2 linked regions of the Mytilus edulis genome follow. The protein of the gene in region 1 interacts with the protein of each later gene in a pairwise test. Links are inferred from orthologs where the notes say so. Each region holds a gene or a part of one and is shown on either strand. Other genes may lie near its edges.

Region 1 (11,805 bases):
GAGTGAACCCATAGGAGTGGGCTAGAACTCACAAACCTCAGTGTTGACTGGCTTATGATTTCAGTTTAAGAACTACTTAGACCACTTAGCCTCGAATGATGAGACTTTGTAGATTTCAACATCATTATTTACCTTGTTTACCCTCAGCCCCATCCTCATCTGCAACCTCTGCCAGATATCGCTAGTAATCTCCCTTTATGAGGAGATCAATAGATCATTTGAGTACAATGTATTTACCTTGTTTACCCTCAGCCCCATCCTCGTCTGTAACCTCTGCCAGATATCGGTAGTAATCTCCCTTTACGAGGAGATCAATAGATCATTTGAGCACAATGTATTTACCTTGTTTACCCTCAGCCCCATCCTCATCTGTAACCTCTGCCAGATATCGGTAGTAATCTCCCTTCATTTTTAAATAGAACACTTTGCTTTCATTTCCACTATCTGTATCTTCAGTAGCTTCTTTTAATAAATGTTCATCAAGCAGATGCTGTAAAAAATGAAGATTTAAAAGTGAATATCTACTTAAATGTTGACAACAGTGTGTTGCATAAGTAGAAAATTTCCCAAAGTAGGATGTCGTTCGGAGGACAAGCCTGCAGGTGTTAACAATTGGGATGTTAACCTAAGGCGATGGTAGATAATTGTTCATGTATACTATAAGTTAAAGTACATTATGTACATTTAACAATAATGAAATTGTACAGGGGCATAACTCTACATGTTCTAGAACAGTAAATGTGATGCCACCCTGATTCACACTTGAACTGTGTTTTGTTGAAATAAGTGTTGTTTATAAGTGACATAATATTTGGTTGGGTTAGGCCAAATAAAATTTCATGCTTGGTTCCAGGTACCCGACCAACCCTAGTTGAAACCCCCCCCCCGACCCTAGAACTTTTTTTTCATTTCTAAAAATAATTTTTCAAATGATCATTTTTGAAGATTGCGAATTTGATTAATTAAATTCATAGATTTCAATCAACTGAATTTCCATCATTAGTATCTGTTATCAGGTTAACATGCCAGTCTGCACCAAAAACTTTATAACTACTAGTCCGAATACCAATATTCTGACATTTTTCTTATTTGGCCAAACAAAGTTTTGCAAAAACTTGCTAGTCCGAAGGAAATTTTACTAGTCTGGGGCATTGGACTAGTGGCTAACCGTGCAGACTGACATGCAACAATTCATATCAGAAGGCATTCAAATGAACTACAAACATACATGTAACAGACTGTTTATTTTCCAAACAAACATGTAAAATGGTGAACTTCTGGTTTGGGCTTGTATAATACCAGAATCAAATCAGGGGAACACCAGATTTTTTCCAGATTTTGACAATCCAAAAAGAAATATTACAAAAGAAATTTAAAAAAAATGCCGACCTACTGAGTTACTTTTTAATAGGATGTAACTGGAACCACACATAATAGAAATAGAACAGAAACTAATTTTTGGAATGGACAGACCCAACTACAGATGGACAAGGGCAACACTGCACACTTGGCTGTGGTGGGTCCACAAAAATTATAAACCCATTATTTCTTCTCATAATATTTTGTAAAACAAAATGTAAGTTCTATGGAGACCAAGCTTTAATATAACACAAATATGACTATTTGAATGCATAGATAACAAAACATTTCATATTTGTTTCACTGTTTTGGTGACAACAAAAATTAAATCTTTAATAAAATATTCTGCAAACTGTTGGCATCTACAGTAACAAATGTACACTGACATTAAGTCAACTTCACTGAAACAAAGCTTTTTAAAAAATGAAAATCACTCTCCCTTTTAGGCATAAGTTTTTTTTAAAGAAATTTCCACTTTCCTGGCAAAGCCAGTGCTCAAATGTCTTCTACCATAAGTTACATATAACCAGTAGTCTGATGCCTAGACTAGTAAAATTTTATTGAGACCAGTAAGTACAAATAAAATGTGTTTGCAAAAATTTATTAAGTCTTTAAAGGAAAATGTTGGAATTTTGGTATTCAGTTTGGTAGTGGGAACTGGAAAAAGATTTTGATGCAAACTGCTGCAGCAGCAAATCCCCCAACCAGATGTGAAAAGTGCATACTCTACTTAACAAAGCTGCCAAACTGAATACCAAAATTCATGCATTTTCCTTTTTGGCTTCTAAAATTCCAAATTTAAAATCATAATACAGTCCTTTTTAGAAGCCAAAAAGAATTTGAAAACAAATTATACACTTGCAAGGTTTAAGGTTAATTTTAAGTGCAGTTGAAGGGCCTTTTTTTTTAATTTGTATCAAGTTGTTGGCTTTGATTAGGCAATGCAGGTAAAAATATACCAAACAGCAGTCTGCACGATTAGCCACTAGTCCGATGGCTAAGACAAGTAAAATGTCCTTTGGACTGTTTGGCTCTATAATAAAAATGTTTAGGATATTAGTCTTGGACTAGTAGTTGAAAAAAGTTTTTGGTGTAGCCTGAAGAAACAGTTGAGAGAGCGAAGGTCTATTAACTTGCATTCCATACCATGTGCATTTGTACAAGACAAGTCAAGACCTGACAATATAAAGTCCATAGATCATGACCAGAGATGAGTTAGTCGGGAAATTTTTTGTTCTGATACTGATAGTAATGCAACCTTTTAGAAAATATCTACTTTTGATCTAGTTCCTACGAAATTGACTCAAACAGAAAAGTTAACATTAAAAAATTGCTTATTATTTCAAACTCATGATCAGTAGACCATGACCTTAGGGGAAGTAAGTTTTATTATAATCAAGTTATAAATTGAAAAACACCCCTTGTCTCGGCTTCCTTATTCTTTCCATTCAGATCCTTTTCACAATGTACATGTACATATTATATGGCAATATGCTGTCTAAAATTAAATGAACAATAGGAATAAACACAACCTTTTCATCTTCTATACAAATACAATTGAGAATGGAAAAACAAGGAATGTGTAGCAGAGACAACATCCATCATCAAAGAGCAGAACATTTATAACTGTCTTGTTACTGTTACAGAATGGAGTGAGTCTGTAGATATATTGACTAATTGATTGTTGTAAAAATACTTCCATCATGCACATCAAGGTTGTATTTAAATAATAGACCTGGTTATATATTGTTTTTTCTCTTGTACTTTCAGTTTGTATACATAGGGAAACATTAATACTAGCAATTTAAAAATACAGCTTAGGAAAAATGAGACCTATCCCAAATTTTGAACGATTCAAGCTATTATCTCATGTATTTGTACGAAGTGCACACTCAGAAATATATATATAGTGCATTAAGCCTTTTTAAAATCCTTTGGTACAAGAACCTTCTTTTATTTTTTATGCATTTAACTACATGTATAACGTCTTAAGTTGCATACACCTACAGACTTCATATAAATGCAAGCCAAGAATAATGCATTTAAAAACTGCTGGCAATTTTAATATGGATACTAGTACTTCATAGTGGAAAATCACACAGGTTTGTCATTTTTGCATAATTTATGCAGAGTGCTCCATTATATAATCAGTGCTGCCAAGCTGTTGATTCTGTGAACAATAAGATAAATCATTGCATACTGCATTCAAGATGTCCACGGAGTGTCTAGATCTGCAATAATACTGCAGAGGAGATGATGAGCTCATGACTCATGCAAAATTTTTACATTTTTATCAATGACGCGGATGAATATACAAACACATGCCAATTTTATGATGATCCAAATTCTCGTCTTCCTGCACATGCAAAAACGATGCTATCTGAATCTGTGTATTGCGATCGGGTGTAGAATATATTTTCTTTGATATATAAACATCTATAACTTAAAGAAAACACAATAAAAATAAACATGCAATGAAAACTGCACGCAAAACGACACAACAAGAAACATCCGTCAACTTTCACTCACCAGAACGTCTTTGCAAATTTCTTGGAGTTCGGTTGTTACTTTGTTTTTGTAATCTTTAGCCAATTGCTGTTTCTTTTCTGTGCCATCAGTCTTAGATTCTATACTTGAAATTACTCTCCATGATGACCGCCGGGCACCAACAACATTTTTGTAGGCAACGGAAAGTAGATTCCTCTCCTCGTTGTTCAACTTCCTAAACTTTTCGACCACTTTTTTCATGGCCTCGGCCATATCATCATACCTTTCAGCTTGTTCAGCTAACTTAGCTTTTTGAACTAGTGTCTCGCGTTCCTTTTTATCTTCGACTTCCGACATGGTTAAAATATTTGTAAATAATCGAAATTTGAAGTCTACTACTCTTTACTCTATCTCCACCTTCCCAATATGGCGGAATACACTAACCAATCAAAGTACAGGTGACATCACTGATTCTTCCGCTACTCCTTTATTTTCATGGACTAAAATGATAAAGTTTAATTGTTTATATTCTATAAAAATATGTCAGGGAAGATTAATTCACTAAAAAGAATAAAAATAGTTATCGTTTGAATAATCGAATATATTATGCAGTGGGACTATTTTGCATCAAAATTCCTAAAACCTGGAAGTGGGTTATCTTCTCTTGAATTCCATTTCTTTCGATAGATTTCGGGGATTACATTCTTTCGAAAAGGTAGCCCTAACGTCACTGTTGCTATGTCAACTCCTAGCCGGGTGTCGAAGGTCAACGTTGTTAATAAATAAAACTTTACCATAAATTATTTTCAATGATATTTTCGAATTGGAATTGATAAAAAGTGTAATAATTTTAATAAAAATATTTTTTTAATTCAATTCCTGAAAACAGGAATATTTCCTTATTTCCGGTTGAAAAAAACACGTGTGTTTGTGTACATTTTATTATCAAGATGCCAAAGTCAAAAAGGGACAAGAAAAGTATTATTATATTGTTGTTTATTCAAAGAACTGCTTATACACACTACAAAATACAAATAAATGTTACAGTCATTTTGTAAAATCCCTGAAATTTTAACAGTTTGAAAATATTTGGGATTATAATTTTATACTATAGTTATTTTTTACTACTACTAGGTACATTGTATGAGTGTTTTTATGGGGGTTACGGTACTTTCGTGACTAACAAGGGGCCTCGGGGGCCGAGTGGGATAAGAAGTCCGATTCTAGCTAGTCAACGCTGAGGTTGTGAGTTCGAACCCTGCTCTTGCTGGTGCAAAGGGTTGCGTTCAATATCGTTCAATATTGTAGGGGCTATGTAGTGCTACGTAGATTTATGACTATTGAACTAGTAGCTAGCCTATTACTATGTAGCAGCTATACTAACTACTTGTTCAATAGTCATCAATTTACGTAGCCCCTACGATATTGAACGTGACCCTGAACTCCAATCTTCATTGATGTTTGTCAGTTTTCTTATTGAAGTAGTTACATTGTGTAACTAAATTGTTCAACCTTGTTTCACTTTCAATTTTGATATTTTTTTCATTAATCAGGTCAAGAATAACCACCAATTGGTGGATTATACCTCAATTGATGTATAATCCACCAATTGACATATAATGGTATAGACCAATTGGTGTATAATTCTTTGTTTTTCAAAGCAAATTATTCCACCAAAATGGAGCATTGTCTTCTTAAAAACATATTATGGTATGAAAACTTGTAAAACATTCCTAGTTTAGTATAGTGACATTACATATTGCATTTCAGTGGCGGATCCAGAACTTTTCCTAAGAGGTGGCCTGCTCCAGTCATGCTTCAATGATTCCCTATATAATCAACCAAATTTTTCCCACGAAAGGGGGGTCCTGGGCCCCCCAGGGCCCCCCTGGATCCGCCTATGAATTTAATCAATAATTGTATTTGCAGTTTCTTATATTGTTATATATCTTGTCAATTCTTGATTGGCAAATTTACCACTAATCACCTGTCAATGGACATCAATACTGTCTGCAGTCATGTGATCATGAGTACAACTCCACAGGTGAATGGAACTCTTTGTTTTAAATACTTCACTTTCATTATCAAAAGTCAATCATGGTCAATAGTACAAATGTTTCAACAAAAGAACTGTTGTACACATGCATTCTCAAGAGATGCAGCAGGCTTTGGCAAAACTGAAACTTTCAGAGGACTCAATAAAGGTCATAAAATAGGTTGCAAGTTGCAAAATCATGCTCCTATCTCACACTAGCATTTTCTTACAAAAAACTCCCATTATACATCAATTGGTCTATACCCATATATGTCAATTGGTGGATTACACGTCAATTGAGGTATAATCCACTAATTGGTGGTTATTCCTGACCTGTTAATATCTGAATAACTCAGTCATATTAGTATATGCCTTACCCAACTCAGCAGGGATAGAATTTAGTTTAAAATGTTGTTAAGACCACAGGTCTAGAGTAAATTTGTTCAGCGTAGTCCTGATAAAAACAGCCTAGCCCTAAGTCACCGATGAGGGTCGCGTCAGCGACCTGAACCTTCTAGCAGGGTTTGGGGGCATGCCCCCCCCCCACAAGAAAACTTTTCAGAACTACATTCTATTTCCTGCTATCTGAGACCATTCTGAATGTAAAAATGAGGTCTCATAATAGCCAATTTATGGAGTCTCAAAAAAGAAAGAAATGGAAAATAATTAAGATAACTATATTTAATTGATTTTTTTAAAGGCAGTGCTTTAAGGCATAAAACTTTGAGTTTTTGTGTCTTTCAAAGCACGAACAATATACAAAATTAGTTGCAGGGTAAAGACACTAAACTCATAAGTAGAAAAAAACAATACTTGCAATATGGTGACATATAGTTGTTAATTTCTGTGTCATTTGGTCTCTTGAAGAGAGTTCTCTTATTGGCAATCAGACCTTATAATGGCTTATCTTCTTCTTTTTATTGATTGCATTTAAAAAAACTTTTTTCAACTTAAAAAAAAATACAAAATACAAATCCAATGAGAATACAGGCCTATCAGATGGTACTCATGTGCAGAGTGTGATGAGACTAGCATTGATGAGAACTAGAACCTAAGTCCTGTGACATGACTAGATTCAGTTGTACTTGACTCATATTTTTAAAAGTATTTTTTTAAAAAAACCGTCAAATTCTGTTATATTGTTTAAATTCGTTTTGCTCCTTTAATAAACTAAAAATGAAAAAAGGTTATTTTAAATAGAAATTTTTTGGACAAGTAACAATTTCATTTGGACAAGTAAATTTTGGTATGTACTTGTCATGACAAGTTGAAAAAAAAGTTATTGGTGGTGTTGGTTTTCTTTCCTCCATTTGAAATCTAACCATAATTAAATTAGTCCAAAAATAAACTTCTATGCATATTTGGTTACACAAATTTAGTTTTGAGCCTGTTGATAACCAAATTTATAATTAAATGTTATTTTTTTATTTTACATATAAGGCCACGGTTTTTTAATTTGTTGGTTTACGGATTTTTCGCATAAAAAAGTCGGGTCGGTCGGTCGGAAAAAAAAAGAAAAAAAATATCTTTCAAAACAGAAAAAATATGCAAAATAAATATATATTTCACCTTACTAACAAAATGTTTATCTTATATGCTGTTTTGTCATCATTTCTTAACATTAAGTTCGATGAAATATTATTGATCAGTGATCATGAACATCGCATGACATCGTTTAATAATTTCCTGTAAAAAAAGGGGGGTTGCACGGACAAACACGAAATTAAATCGTCATTTCACAAACAAGAAAAACAGATTCGCGTAGCTCTCAGAAAACTTGGTGAATAATGATCTTCAAGCACAAAAACTGATAAAGAAAAAAAATATAAAAACGTCGTACAAAAATAAGTTTCAACACACGTGTCGAAAAACGTAATAGACTCGTCCACTGGAAAAACGACAATATCGGGTTAATCAGTTGTCATGCAATCCGGTTTTTATCCCAATGATTGATATTTTTTGTTATCTATGAAACAAGAAAATTTCAAATGATTTGTTAATATTCAGTACTTTAATTGATGTATTCCACCTGTCCACATTGGGCCATTCCAGTTAATATCTGCTAAAGGAGGATGGATGGTCCTTTCTGAGGGGTGTAAAATTTATACATCTTAGGGGTGAAATTTTGGGTTTTTTCATCTGACACGTACACATATACGCAAAAATTTCTGAGGGTCTTGCAGCAGAAAATAATTAAAAATAATTACATCTTAGGGGTTACAAAAAAAACCTATTTCAGATCTTAGGGGTGCTTTGGAATGTAAAAAAGTTTCGTATCATGCATTATCTGGTATTGTATTTAAAATTCTGATGGGTACAATCCTTGCAGTAAAAAATTCTGATAGGTCAATTTTTCCCATGAAAGCCATCCACCAAATATGAACAGGAACTCTAAATCTGATAGGTCTTAATTTATAGATCTGATAGGTAGTTTTACATGATGTTTTTTTCTGATAGGTATGAAAAAAAATCTCCCCATCCATCCCAACCTGTCAGAAATTAACTGGAATGGCACATTTGGACAAGTCTATTTCTCTGAGATGATGCATCTTACGGACTGATGACAAATAAGGGAAACGAACTAATTTGTAATTGGTTTTAAACACAGGTTTCGTTACGCAAAATTATTTGCGCAAAAGACATTTCAAGGTCAGTTATAATTGATTTGTCTATTTTCAGAAACGTAAATTGGAAGTTTTATTTTTCACAACAGAAAGTGTTATCAACTTTGTTAATGATTAATGCATTTCATTTCATAATAAAGGAAAATTTTAATTATTTTTCAGGGATAATGCATTTATAAGGGTCGGCGGGAATAAAAAAGCATGAAAAGTCAATTTTATTTTTATTCTGAAAATCGGCAAAATCGGGTCGGCGGATCCGTAAACCAACAAATAAAAAAACCGTGGCCTAAATGATGCTTCAAATGTTTTATGACTAACAAAATGTATATGTATCTTTTTAGTTTCATTAACACAGACAAAGAGGAAAGGTTTAGAACTGAAACAGAGGCTGATAGATGATGTAAGTACTAAAAACCAACAATATTATATAATATAAAGATAAGACAAAGAGGAAAGGTTTAGAACTGAAACAGAGGCTGATAGATGATGTAAGTACTAAAAACCAACAATATTATATAATATAAAGATAAGACAAAGAGGAAAGGTTTAGAACTGAAACAGAGGCTGATAGATGATGTAAATACTAAAAACCAACAATATTATATAATATAAAGATAAGACAAAGAGGAAAGGTTTAGAACTGAAACAGAGGCTGATAGATGATGTAAGTACTAAAAACCAACAATATTATATAATATAAAGATAAGACAAAGAGGAAAGGTTTAGAACTGAAACAGAGGCTGATAGATGATGTAAGTACTAAAAACCAACAATATACTGTAAATTCAGAAATTAATGCGAGGATTTTATTATTGCGAAAAATGTGACAGAGTTGTAAACGCAATAATTTAAACTCGCATAAAACAGGATTTTTCTCAAAATCATAAAAATTAAAATCGCATATAAGTTTTAAATTACAAATCGTAATAATAAATGCACGCTATAATTTCTGAATTTACAGTAATATAATAAGAAGATAAGACAAAGAAGAAAGGTTTAGAACTGAAACAGAGGCGGATAGATGATGTATTTGCTAAAACCAACAACATAACATAAAAGTAAGGAGATGAGGTATGATTGACAATGAGACAACTATCAACCAATTTTGATCACATGGTATGGGTTTTTCTCTTTGTTGAAGACCATGCATACAGTTGCCTATAATTGCGTTCATCCACTTTATTTGAACTTTGGTAGATAGTTGTCTCATTGTCAATCATATCACATCTCCTTATTTTTATACTTTTTTCTACTAGTGTGATAAAGCTGTGTTTCTAAATTTAAATAAAAAGTAAAAACACAAAAACACTGAACTCCAAGGAAAATTCAAAAAGGGAAGTCCAAAATCAAAAGGCAAAATCAAAAGTCCAAACACATCAAACGAATGGATAACAACTGTCATATTTCTGACTTGGTACAGGCATTTTTTAATGTAGAAAATGGTGGATTGAACCTGGTTTTATAGCTAGCTAAACCTCTCACTTATATGACAGTCACATCCAATTCCATTACATTGTCAACGATGTGTGAACAAAACAAACATACTCAAAGAGTAAAAATGTCAAAAATAGGGGTACAGCAGTCAACATTATGTTATCATCTTAATCACTATAAAAACAACAAATGTAACGAAGAAGCACAAAAAGGCATACATCATGTTTCAATAAAATGAAAATTGATGAAAACTGTTTAAAAATTTCTTTAACCCTTTACTCCATAATGACATTTTTTGACGCCACCCCCTTTACTCCATAATGACGCCTTTTGATGCCTGTGTAGTGCCTCAGTTGAAACGTCTTACCTAGGAAAAATCTTTATCAGGCCTAAATTAAAATATTGTTTGTTTGCCCTTTTCCGACCCTATGTTTTGAAACAGGGTAGGTAGGTAGGTAAAATATTTTATTTTTTTCCCCAAAAAAATAACTTGGCTCGGTATATTATTTGTCATGGGTAGGCAGGTAGGTATAATATTTTATTTTATAGATGCATATAAATGTCATTGGTGTCCGTTTTGTTTTTGCAAATAAGTTTTCTGGGACTATTAGTTTAAAAAAAAAATCATGTAGAATGTGAAGCTAATTCATATGCACTACTATTTTGTTTTCAAATATAACTAAATAGAGCTGTGCCGCATATCTTCAACGTTTATATGCCTGAACTTTGAAGAGTTTGAACTTGCACTTATATTCTGTACTACGTACCTTGTATGCTTACCTTAAGAATTTCTGTAAAAGATAACTTTGTACTGATAATATATGTCTGAGCAGACATACATCACTAGTAGAAAAAGTCCCTAGAGTGTTAAAAACATCGTGTGTGCCTTTGTTTCCAATAAAAATGCTACTAGACCTAAAACTCTGACAATTGTCACGTTTTTTACATCGCATTTATAAATGATCTGTATGGACAACTTGGCGATTTTACTGCCAGATATTCTCCACTTTACAGGGTTTTGTCACTTTTGGTTCATGTCAGATATAAATAATATAGCGGCATCGTTAACATAATCATCAGGAGATCTGCGGATCACAAAAGGCCATCCCTACATAGAATACAACGTCCGTTTACAAATTAGTTTGTACACAAGATGATAATTTTGTATCAAACGAACTTTTTTGTAAATGAACCATGCTCTTTTAAGTTAAAGGTACAGAGTAGGGTACGTCATATCATGATTTCAGAAAGCGTTCACAAGCTGAACATCGATTTCAAACAAATGCTTTGAAACTTCAAATGTATAAGTGTTAATGTCAAACGCTCAGGTGATACCAAACGGACTGGACCTTATACGATAAAGATAAAACCCGAGAATTCCGGATAAAATAGTTTTGAGCGGGAAATACAAATATAAGATTTTTGGTAGGAACGAAAAAATAAAATAAAATAAAATCTTGCTGGTAAATACAAATAAAAGATTTTCAGGCGCAACGAATTTATAGGGTCGGTCGGTAAAGGGCAAACAATCAATATTTTAATTTAAGCCTCAGACCTAATAAAATTTGTATCTAATATAAAATGATATTCAAGAGAATATTTGACTGGAATTTCATTGATGAAATATTCCTTTTTGCAATGCATTGATACTTTAAACCTGATGATTATTTTTAATTGAAAAAATCCTATGCGAATCAGGTATGTTTAAAAAAAATGTCAATGGAGGAAAGGGTTAAAGTATAATAAACTATTATTTTCAGATACGAGAATGTGCCAACAAATACAAGAGAATTTTCCTGTTTTCTGTTCACAACATGAGAAACATGCAGTTAAAAGATGTCAGACAGGAATGGAATCATAGCAGGT
Region 2 (11,206 bases), on another chromosome or scaffold:
GTGACACTTTAATAAAATAAATTATTATTATTATTATTATTATTATTTACTAAAATAAAAGTCTGACTTCTTGACCGAGAAAACCTTATTCTCAACTATTTCATTGATTTGTAGGAAAATTATAAATGAATAATTTTTTTACATTTCAAAATATTTTTAAATCAAAATATGATATTGCAGTACGTCTTGATCATTTCCCCAAACTTCCACAGAATTTTCTATTCAACTTTTCTGTAACTTTTTCTAATTTTTGTAGTGATGGTTCCAATGTTTGATTGCAGTCATAAGTTAGAACTCTTAAACGAATGACAATGAAAAATATATGACATACCTGCACATGCAATAAATTATAATAACTACAGCAATCAATAGGACAACACCAGCTACTATTGGAACCTGTAAATAATTTTATATTGATGATTAAAACAACAAAAGACAATCCAAAATATAACAAAAGACTCAACATATTCAAGTTGATTCTATGCAAAATGTAACAGTTGAACAAACAAGATGATTCAGTAAAAAATATAACAGTAGTTCACACAAAGTGATTCAGTAAAAGATTTAACAGTAATAAACACAAAATGATTTAGTGAAAAATATAAGTCATGACAGTAGTACACAGTAGCAAACCACAATATTATTTATGTGTACTGGGTAAATTTCCCTGTCTTGTTGCCTACATAAACATCATAATAAGCTTTACTATTTAAATATTGGTTTTGTATCCCTCAAATACCAGTTCCTACTGCTATGCATGTTATATTATCTTCAATACTATTTATTCTGTAATGCTTAGCCCGAATTAACTCCAAAGCCAAATTATGCCTGGTCAAAATATTTTGTTTGTCCTAGACCATGTTCACCATGTACACTTGTTCTAAGAAAGATAAATTTATTTAATACTCATATTTTTATAAAGCTTTGTTTAATTTGCATTCCATTAAGATAATCTCTACCATTTTACATTATTCTAACGGTAAACCATGTACACGAGTGAGGTTTATGAAATTTTTCAGATGTTTAGACTTTTGGGTTCTTTTCCTACGATATTGGGTAACATTCTTTTGCCACTGCCTATCACCCATGCACTTTTCTTTCCATAGAAGACATCAATAGCTCATAAAAAAGTCATATGATACCAAAATTTAAGTGGATTCTAAATTTTTTTTTCTTATGATTTCAGCTAGACCCAACTAAAGCCAATGCTTAACCCTTTCACCGATTGCTGCCCAGACAGAAGCTACTCTGAGACGATGGCTTCCCTGGCTACTTTTACTCAGGTGGGAGATCTTCATAATAAATGTCAATAAAAACTTGTTTGTAGTTATTTGTGTATTTATTTTATTCACTAACACCATGTTCACAGTTTGGTTTATGTTTTGATAACGTTTCTTCATAAAATATTCAAATTTTCAAATATTCAGCATTATATGAGTGAAATTCTCAAATTTCTGCTCTTTGACCCCAAATCGTAATTTTTTAACCCAAAACAGCAAACTTTTGAAAAATTTTATGAGGCTGTACAAATTCCTCACACTGAACGATGTCCATTCCAAGTGTTTTGTACATAAAACGACATTTTATGTTAAAAAAGTTTACTAGTTTTGCTTCAATTCTTCCATATTCTTTCAAAAAAAATGTGTCCTCATTTCAAATTCTCGAAAAAAATCCTCTGATTTTGACACGGTTTTCAACAAACGGAAGCGCCATGTTTACACTTTCATCCGGGTATTCATTAAAGAAAGATAACTCATGTTTGCACTTTTGAGCAGGAAATATAAAAGATGTATTCTGATCCCGGTAAAACGGGACTCATTGTCAGCCGTCTGAAGCGTGAATCCCGGTAAACCTGGACTCATCGGCGAAAGGGTTAATATAATGGTAAAAGTCTGAGTCAGCCTTTTCCTGCATTTCTAAAAAAAATCAAATATCCCAAAACCCTTATTCTGCTCTTTTAATAAACTTAGATTGAAATTAAATGACTTATCTATACCATGTATACTACTCAGAGGAGAGATGGATTTAATTAAGCCACAACTCCTCTGAAACCATACAAAAATCAGAATATCAATGACAAAAATATTTTGGATGACAATAAATATATGTTTTGTACTTCCTAAATTTGTCTTTGAAACAATCTTTTTTTCCACAAAAAACGCATTAATAGAAAATCAATGAGGCCTAAATTAAAATATTGTTTGTTTGCCCTTTTCCGACCCTATGTTTTGAAACAGGGTAGGTAGGTAGGTAAAATATTTTATTTTTTTTCCCAAAAAAATAACTTGGCTCGGTATATTATTTGTCATGGATAGGGAGGTAGGTATAATATTTTATTTTATAGATACAAACTCTGCATAATGTCATTTGTGTCCGTTTTGTTTTTGCAAATACGTTTTCAGGGACTATTAGTTTTATAAAAAAATATCACGTAGAATGTGAAGCTAATTCATATGCACAGTACTATTTTGTTTTCAAAATATCAAAATATAGTGCTGTGCCGCATATCTTCAACGTTTATATGCCTGGAACTTTGAAGAGTTTGATCTTGCACTTATATTCTGTACTACGTACCTTGTATGTTTACCTAAGATTTTCTGTAAAAGATAACTTTGTACTGATTAGATCTATGTCCGGGCAGACATACATTACTAGTAGAAAAAGTCCCTAGAGTGTTAAAATGCTACAAGACTTAAAACTCTGAAAATTGTCACGTATTTTACATCGCCTTTATAAATGATCTGTATGGAAAACTTGGCGATTTTACTGCCAGATATTCTCCACTTTACAGGGTTTTGTCACTTGATTCATGTCAGATATAAATAATATAGCGGCATCGTTAACATAATCATCCTGATCTGCGGATCACAAAAGGCCATCCCTACATAGAATAAAACGTCCGTTTACAAATTAGTTTGTACACACGTTGATAATTTTGTATCAAACCAACTTATTTGTAAATGAACCCTGCTCTTATAAAGGTACAGAGTAGCGTACGTGATTTCAGTAAGCGTTCACATGCTGAACATCGATTTCAAACAAATGCTTTGAAACTTCAAATGCAAGTGTTAATGTCAAACGCTCAGGTGATACCAAACGGACTGGACATTATACGTTAAAGATAAAACCCGAGAATTCCGGTTAAAATTGTTTTGAGCGGGAAATACAAATATAAGATTTTTGGTAGGAACGAAAAAATAAATTAAAATAAAAACTTGCTGGTAAATACAAATAAAAGATTTTCAGGCGCCACGAATTTATAGGGTCGGTCGGTAAAGGGCAAACAATCAATATTTTAATTTAAGCCTGAAAATAGGACATTTCCTGTATTGTTTTGTAAGTATGTAAGTGCATTAGTTTTCTAAATTAAACGACATCCATCTGTTTTACAAAATGCAGAACTGTCCATTGGGAAAATGAAAGGGGCATTGAACTTGTGGAAGTGATCCTCTACCCTTTTTATATGTAAACACAAGTTTATAAAATTTATGTAGGAGAAACGTTTTTATGATGAATAAGGTATAAGAAAAAAAGATTGCATTTTAAAAATATATATTTATATTGTTAACAGGTTCATTTTTTTATATTCCCTAGCTTAGAGAGAAAAACAGTATTAAATTTGAACTTCTATCATCATCTTAAGGTTCATCATAACCTTTTGGCTAAAATGTCCGTATTTACACCCCAAATTTTACTCTGAATACAGACTAACCTATACACCTGCAACAGTTTTAAGGGATGGCAGGAACTAGATATATAAATTTTAAATGCATTTTATGTTTCAGAAAATTATAAACTTTTCTAGATTTTGCTATCCATTTTTTTTCGTTCCTGCAGAAGGTGCAAAAATTAGTAGTGAAAACGATTGAGAAGCTCCCCTCATATAATCAATGTTGTGAGTAGTATTGATTTAAATGGACAATAGACACCTGTAAACAATAGGTGATTTAACAGGTTTAAACTGTGTAACTGAGTGGACCGAATCAAATGAAACTCGGGTGTTTGTTTATTTTGCTATCTTCTGCAGACTGGAAAAAAATGAACATCAAAATCCAGGTAAGTTTTTAATTTTCTGAAACGTAGACTTCATATAACTTTTATATATCTAGTTCCTGCCATGCCTTTAAACTTTCCTGGATGTACCAGTTTTACCTGTACTCATAGTAATTTTAGAGGTGTAAACACGGCCATATTTTTCAATTCCTTATGATGAACCTTAATTCATATCAGCCGGTTCCACTCGTTTTATTTTCAGCCATATTTAACCCGGTCACGTGATAGGGCGAACTAGGCATAGCCCGACCTATAACAAATGAAGCAGCCCCACAGGCACCTGAATTCTGTACCCCTACCGATTTTTACGTGTTTACGCTCCTACCCAATGTTTTGACTAAAAGTTTAAGTCTTTTATCACTTATAACTGTATGAACTATCTTAAAACAATTGTATGTATGCATGTTTTCTATTTTTTGCGTTATTGTATAATTGTTGTTATTGATAAACGTTACGGAGGGATATTTCAATCCGGCAGTAAAGTATATGGAAGAGACTTTCTCTGAGTGTTTTTGACTTTGGAAGTTCAGTTTCGACCCAACTTTTTTGTTCGTTTTCTCAGGTTTTCGAAATTCATGGTTCGTATTTATGGAATTGTGTACATCTATCATTTACCCAGACATTATCCTCTAAGAAAGTTCTAAATGACATTTCTTCAATTCAGCAGTAACATCATTTAAACTTTGAGATGTTGCACCGTGTGCTAATCGTTCAAGGGAGATCATATGACAGACGACGGAAGTTTACACGGGGGACAACTCTATTTTTTCCAAATTGACATTTGGCGGGAAAACCGATTAGTAATTTAAAAAAAAGTCATTTCAGTTCAAAGTGCCTACAATGTTCACTAGTTCGACAGTAAATAACGAAATGGTGTAATATAAATCGTAATGTTGAAATTCCAACCTGTGAACAGTATATATGATGAATATTAAAAATATGGCAGTGGTTATTTTGCATGCTCTGATTAAAATATTTTAATCCAAGCCGGCAAAATAGCCTATTCTAAAGAATTGGCTATTTTGCCGGCTCCAGCAATATAGTCAATTCGTTATTTTGCAGGTTCTTTGTAAAGAATGAAATTTAATATTTTAAAAAGTACTATGAAAATGTGCACTGTCAACATAAAAGAATCCAATACTGACCGTTATATTCGTTAATTAAAACATTTCTCTGTCAAAAGTGTAAATATATTAATAACATGTATATGTATGCATAAAAATAAAATCTCATATTTTTTAACTGTATGTTATGAACCGGTATTGCATCATAAATTTGATAAAACATTATACAATATAACAAAGTGAATCACATGCATGTCTTAAAATATACGGTATGGATTTGTTTTAGAGCCGCAAAATTCAACGGAAATTGTCCCTGACATGAAATCAATGCTTGCAATGTACTAAATGTACTGAACGATGATCCCCATGAATAATTAATGTGCTAGTTCCCATTTAATAATGATGAAAAAACATAATCCCTTTTTGCTGGTGATAGATATATCTGAACCTAGTCATATGTATATGCTTTTCCATTTTTGAAATTTGTCCATCATAAAGAATCAAAAGATGCATGATATGATACACAACAAGATAAATGTCAACCAGATACTAAAAGTTAGAAACTCCGAGTAGAAACTATTATAGTTCGCCGTAACGGCAGTCTTTTACTACAATAAGCAAAACCCATGATATATACCGCATTTATACAATAAAGCTTTCCGAAAGGCCACGACATGCATGAATCGATAAATTCAATGGTAAACAACTCAAACGAGATAACCAACGGCCTGATTTATGTTTTGCGGCTTATTGTGTTGATGAGCTGCTGTCTATATTAATTAAGCTTCCTTAAGACATGTTAGAATCATTGGCTTTTTTTTTTAAAGGTCATAAAAACTACACGAGGGCAGGGGTCTTATTGTAACATGGCTATTGAATATTGTAAATTTATCACTCATGTTTTTATGTTTTTTTATATCTTTTTTGTATACTGTTTTTTGTTTATCTTTTGTTTAAACTTTTATTGCCATACACATTGTAATACAATTGAATGTATTAAAACGGCTTATTATAATAGGAAAACTGTGAGATGAATCCTTTCTTCTTCCAAAGTAGCAACATATTTGAATCTGTATATCTTGATGCATGATCATTCCTGATATTTATTGAATTTATTAAAACGTACGTCTTAATAGGAAATATGCGAGACGAATCTCTTCTTCTACAAAATTAGCAACGTATCTGAATCTGTATATCTAGATGCATTTTCTATTTCTGATATTCATTGAATTTATTAAAACCACTTCTTAATAGGAAAACTGTGAGAAGATCGAATCCTTTCATCTTCCAAAGTAGCAACGTACATGTACTTGAATTTGTATACAAAGATGCATTTTCTATTTCTGATATGATCTATTGCATTTATTTCAATAGGCTACTGTAAGACGAATCTTTTCTTCTTCCAAAATAGCGCCGTTCTTGAATTTGTATACATATCCAGATGATCCGAGATACATTTTCTATTTCTGCTATTCATCCATAAAGATGTTAAGGGAATTGTTCTATCAGATGTTTCCATTTGTAGTTCTCTGTGATATATACAATGATAGATGTAACGAATAATGAGACACAAATAACTTTATATATTGCCTAGGAGAATGATATATGATCAGATTAGTTCTTTTGATTTTCTTTATTGATCAAGATTATGTCACGTGATCGATGCTAATCAAGTATACGGATTCTTATATCAGTGAAAGTTTTGATGTAGTCTACAGTAAAATAAATATAAATACGTCTAGACGTATTAACGAAAAATAAGGCAGGATGTAATTTGTTATAGCTCAGACCAAAACGTACGAAATGTAAATGGTTGTATAAAAAGGCCATTCAAGAAGCTGTTTCCAGATAATATTCATCAATGTATGTAGGATGTATTAGGAGAAGCATATCATAACTGCGATAGCCTTTCTAAGATATGTATAATATCCATTGGGAATTTGAGACTATTTAATTCCATATAAAATCTAACTTGTTCGTATTCTTGTTAAACGGTTTGGATTGGTCAGGTTTATTCAAAACAATTATTATAACACATTTTGATGTGAAATATATGATTTTTGTCAAACTGTACAGACTTCTTCGAAATCAATCCTCGAAATTAGAAGACCAATTAATATTGGTGTTTTACTGACATTTAAATCAGTCCAAATATAATGGAATTTTATTATAATCCACGGAGCAAATCGGATAAGCAACCTTGAACAAACAGGGGATTTCATCATACATTCACACCAACGCCAGCATGCCTTATTGAAAAACGCAATTTCTATTATACGTATGCAGCGTTTTCCATGTCTTCACTGATATCGCCGATCGACGTCATATCATACCCCAACCTTGTCTCTCAGTCCGATATTGGTGTCTCGAGATGATTCCCTTTCAATGTATAATGATATCTTTGTTAATTAAGTTTTCTACAGTTTCATCAAATTTTTATATGTTCATAGTTTTGTCCAATGCTATATGATATAAAACCAATAATCATGTATTTCTAAATATTTGAACTGTTCATTGACTGATTTTGACATTTTGAGACTGAAATTTTCTAGTTTAAATTCTGTATATGGCCACTGATATTTCATTTAATAGACAAAATAACTGTATAAGAATGCTTTATCTCAAAATATACGTAACTATTCTTCGTCATATTTTAGATACGCGTGCAAACGTGTGTGATTTTTCTTTTTATTCGTGGGGGCCATACAAAGTTTCTAATTGTTCCTGTACGATTTTGAAAAAAAAGTTTTAAAAAAAAATGGTGAAGAAAAGCATAAATGATTGGCGACTTTTGTAAATATACTGTTCTTCTTTGTGGCCATATATAAATGTATATAATGTTATCAATATACTGTTCTAATGGATGACCTGAAAAAAGTACATATTTTGTGAAGACAGAAGGAATAGTCTAATCGACTTATTTTGTCGTTATGTTTCAGGCGGCATGTTTCATCATAAAGTCAGACAGTACCTTAAACTCATATTAAAATATATTAATTTTACAACAATAGAGAAAACCATTAAATTGATTGGTTTCCAATTTCATTGCTATTCTAAAACTACATCATACTGACTCAATTTCAATTAAGCTTTTATTTTTATATCAAGCCGATTAATAATGACATCCGAAAACAACTTCTACCGACTAATGCTTACGTCTTTGTTCAGACTCATTTCTCAGCCCAACGTGCAAAATTTAATTTGTATCGAATTTATTCTATTTCAATAAAACAATAAACTAAGCAGACAGTAATCAATATAAATGTGTGGTAAATAGTATCATGAGATCTTTAGAGAGAACTCGGTTGCCTCGTAGGTGTAATTTTTAATTCCGATTGTCTACAGGGTTTACTTTGACATACAGCTAGTCCAATCAAAGTTATATTATTTTTGAATTGAAGAATATATAGCTACTCTTGTACATACTGAAGCAGTGCGCTATATCGTTTTCAAAGAGCGGTGATACATAGCCAAGCCACACGTTCAATACAACAATCCTTTCGATCTGCAATCTATCCTTCACTTCAATCGAATAGCTGTCCATTCTGACGTAGCAGTTTTGTAATTTTAACTTGACCGTCGAAAATATGTAAATTTCGGTTGCTTACCGAAACAAAGCATTTTAGAACTGGCAAATATGAAAACGAATCAACGGGCTATAAACGCTAGAAGTGATTGTAAATGTTTTTTTCTCCGATGTAAAAAAAAAAAATACCAACTGAAGATTTTTTTTTTAGATTATGAGTGTTTTTAACTGAGAGGAGTTTTTAAAGCGTGTGTCATATATTCGAAAAAAATCATACAAATTTGAAAATGCAGTACGATTGCCAATGAGATAAATCTCCACTATAGACCACATGACAAGAAGCCATGCAACAACCATAGGTCTCTGCACGGCCTTCAACAACGAGCATAACCAATACCACACAGCAAGCCACAAGAGGCACCAACATGGTCACATGAAAAACATTAAACATGCTTGAAACATCGACAAAAAGACTTTAAACAAATATTGATAAAATCACGAAACTTGCACTGCTTAGAACCTTACGCCACATTTCAGTCGATACTTTATGGGTTACCTGTCATCAATTCTAATTAATGTTGATTGAAAATACTTCTTTCATGCAGTTAATACCAGTTCATTGGTGTTGGCGTGTTTAAAAAATATATATGTAGCTAAAGAACTTTGTCAAGGTTTGAATAATCAAAAATATTTTCCCTTGAATTACTGCATGATGTATATCTTTGTTAATTAGTTAACAACTGGCAAAGAAGTAGTGTGAAGTAATATCCATTATTAAACGGAAAACATTTCACCGGAATACAGAATTTAAACTGTGACTGACCGCGTCTTCGTTAGTGATGTTGGTGGATTTTTTGTTGGGGTGTAAAAGTGGGGGGGGGGGGGGGGGGGGGGAGGGGCTGGGGCTCTAGAAATGTTGCAAGTGTCAAAGTTGAAATGTCAAAAATATTATTGAGAATGATGAAAAAAAGCTATGGCAGTAGTACGAATATACGAAATAGTGTGTTTTGCTGGTTTGTTTTAGGATCAAAATATAGTGCTTCAACTATTTTGATCGACTTTACTAAAGTTAATTGAAGTCAGTAGGAGAGAGAAAGGCACACCAACATGTTTTATCTCAATCCTATCCCTATGACGGCCCCAGTCCCTATTGCAATTACCGATTATGCTTCTTACAATATATAGGTATCATCTTTCTATATTGCACCACACACAAATTAAAATTGCCCCCATTTCCACTCTTTTACTGAAACTGTTTCCAGAGTTCATGAATCGTTTCCAATTAATCTTAGGATCAAAATAAATGTACTAAATATCTCCCACATTCGAATCAATCATTCGAGAAATGTTCATTCAATAATTTTATGAGTAGTTCCGTGTGAGATCAATAAAACGACATTATTGGAAACTTTGGCAATATTTCCCCCCATTCAGCAGCTGATTTTGTACATCATCAACCGCTTCAGTTATTTTTAGCAGAAAATAAGCTCAAGTGTTTACTTAATTTAACTTGCAGAATTCTTTAGAGGAATAGATGTGGCGTGTAGGTTTTTTTTTGGATATTAAATCAATGTATATATAAATGTAAGTATCCTTTGCTTTTTTACCTCAGCTTATGTAAGATAGTTGTACATAATTGAGTTGATTATTGTAAAAATCACTTAATTACGTACGCAAAGTATTGAAATCTACAACTTTTTATGTCAAATCTGATGTATCACTAAACCAATACACTATTTCTTATCACGATAGACCCATCAAAATTTCATGGCGATTGAATGTATTCAACAGCAGTGTACGAATTCTCTTGTTGCTATATTCACACATTATTTTTATTTTGTAGCAAAATCATAGTATTGTTTAAAGATATATTTATTCATGTCGACAATTAACAAATCTCCTATACCATCCATGTTACTCCTTTTTTTAAAATTTCAAATTAATCAAATTGCGTGTCTGAATTTTAGTAAAAATAATTAATATAGAAGTTAGAAGAATGTGTTTGAAACATGAATGATTATATTACTCTTGTGTGTTTCTTTGAGTTATTTGAAATCAATTCAGAAGTTGAATGGATATAAAATCATCATTCTATAGTATCTTCATTTATACAAACCTTAATTTATATTTTTCCTGATTGCATTACCTATAAGGTATCCATAAACTTTATTATCTTGCTCCGAATTCTTCCTTTTATGTTATTTTATTTTGACAATTTATCAAATAAAAATGTTTAACCAATCGTAAACACTTACAACAGGCATATATATATTTGACTTTTAAACGAAAGTCATAAATATAAGAGCGCAGTTTCTTTGCTTTAGGGTGTAATTCTAAAGTGGGTGTAATGTTTTTGTCATGAATAATTAAATCACACCCCTTCTTTTCCATTTATAGTATTACCGAGAATATATGACCCTTTATATTCTACTGTTTCAAAAGGACATTGCGTTGATATACGTTTTTGATACAGTAACTTCGTCCGAGAGATCACGAATATGCAATTTGGAAAACTGCGCTGATACCCATTTCGGTTATCCAGTTATAAGTAATTCGTTTAAAT

What was found. The genes of interacting proteins can lie anywhere in the genome.
Region 2: the proteins of 14-3-3 protein beta/alpha-1-like (region 1) and slowpoke-binding protein-like interact in binary tests that used the Drosophila melanogaster proteins (3 or more experiments, as listed by UniProt). The link is inferred for Mytilus edulis from reciprocal best matches to the Drosophila melanogaster genes 14-3-3zeta and Slob.

The regions. Positions count from the first base shown.
Region 1 is NC_092355.1:77,869,881-77,881,685, reverse strand, and holds the start of 14-3-3 protein beta/alpha-1-like, read right to left. Parts: upstream 4,548-11,805; 5' UTR 4,490-4,547; intron 4,347-4,489; 5' UTR 4,204-4,346; coding exon 3,889-4,203; intron 491-3,888; coding exon 343-490; intron 1-342. Other genes in the region: mRNA turnover protein 4 homolog, read left to right, coding at 4,797-4,824, 8,847-8,905, 11,700-11,803. UniProt on the Drosophila melanogaster protein: Required in Raf-dependent cell proliferation and photoreceptor differentiation during eye development. Acts upstream of Raf and downstream of Ras, and is essential for viability.
Region 2 is NC_092344.1:64,753,224-64,764,429, forward strand, and holds the start of slowpoke-binding protein-like, read right to left. Parts: upstream 4,781-11,206; 5' UTR 4,705-4,780; coding exon 4,669-4,704; intron 397-4,668; coding exon 332-396; intron 1-331. UniProt on the Drosophila melanogaster protein: Regulator of calcium-activated channel Slo. Increases or decreases the voltage sensitivity of Slo, depending on the absence or presence of 14-3-3-zeta in the complex, respectively.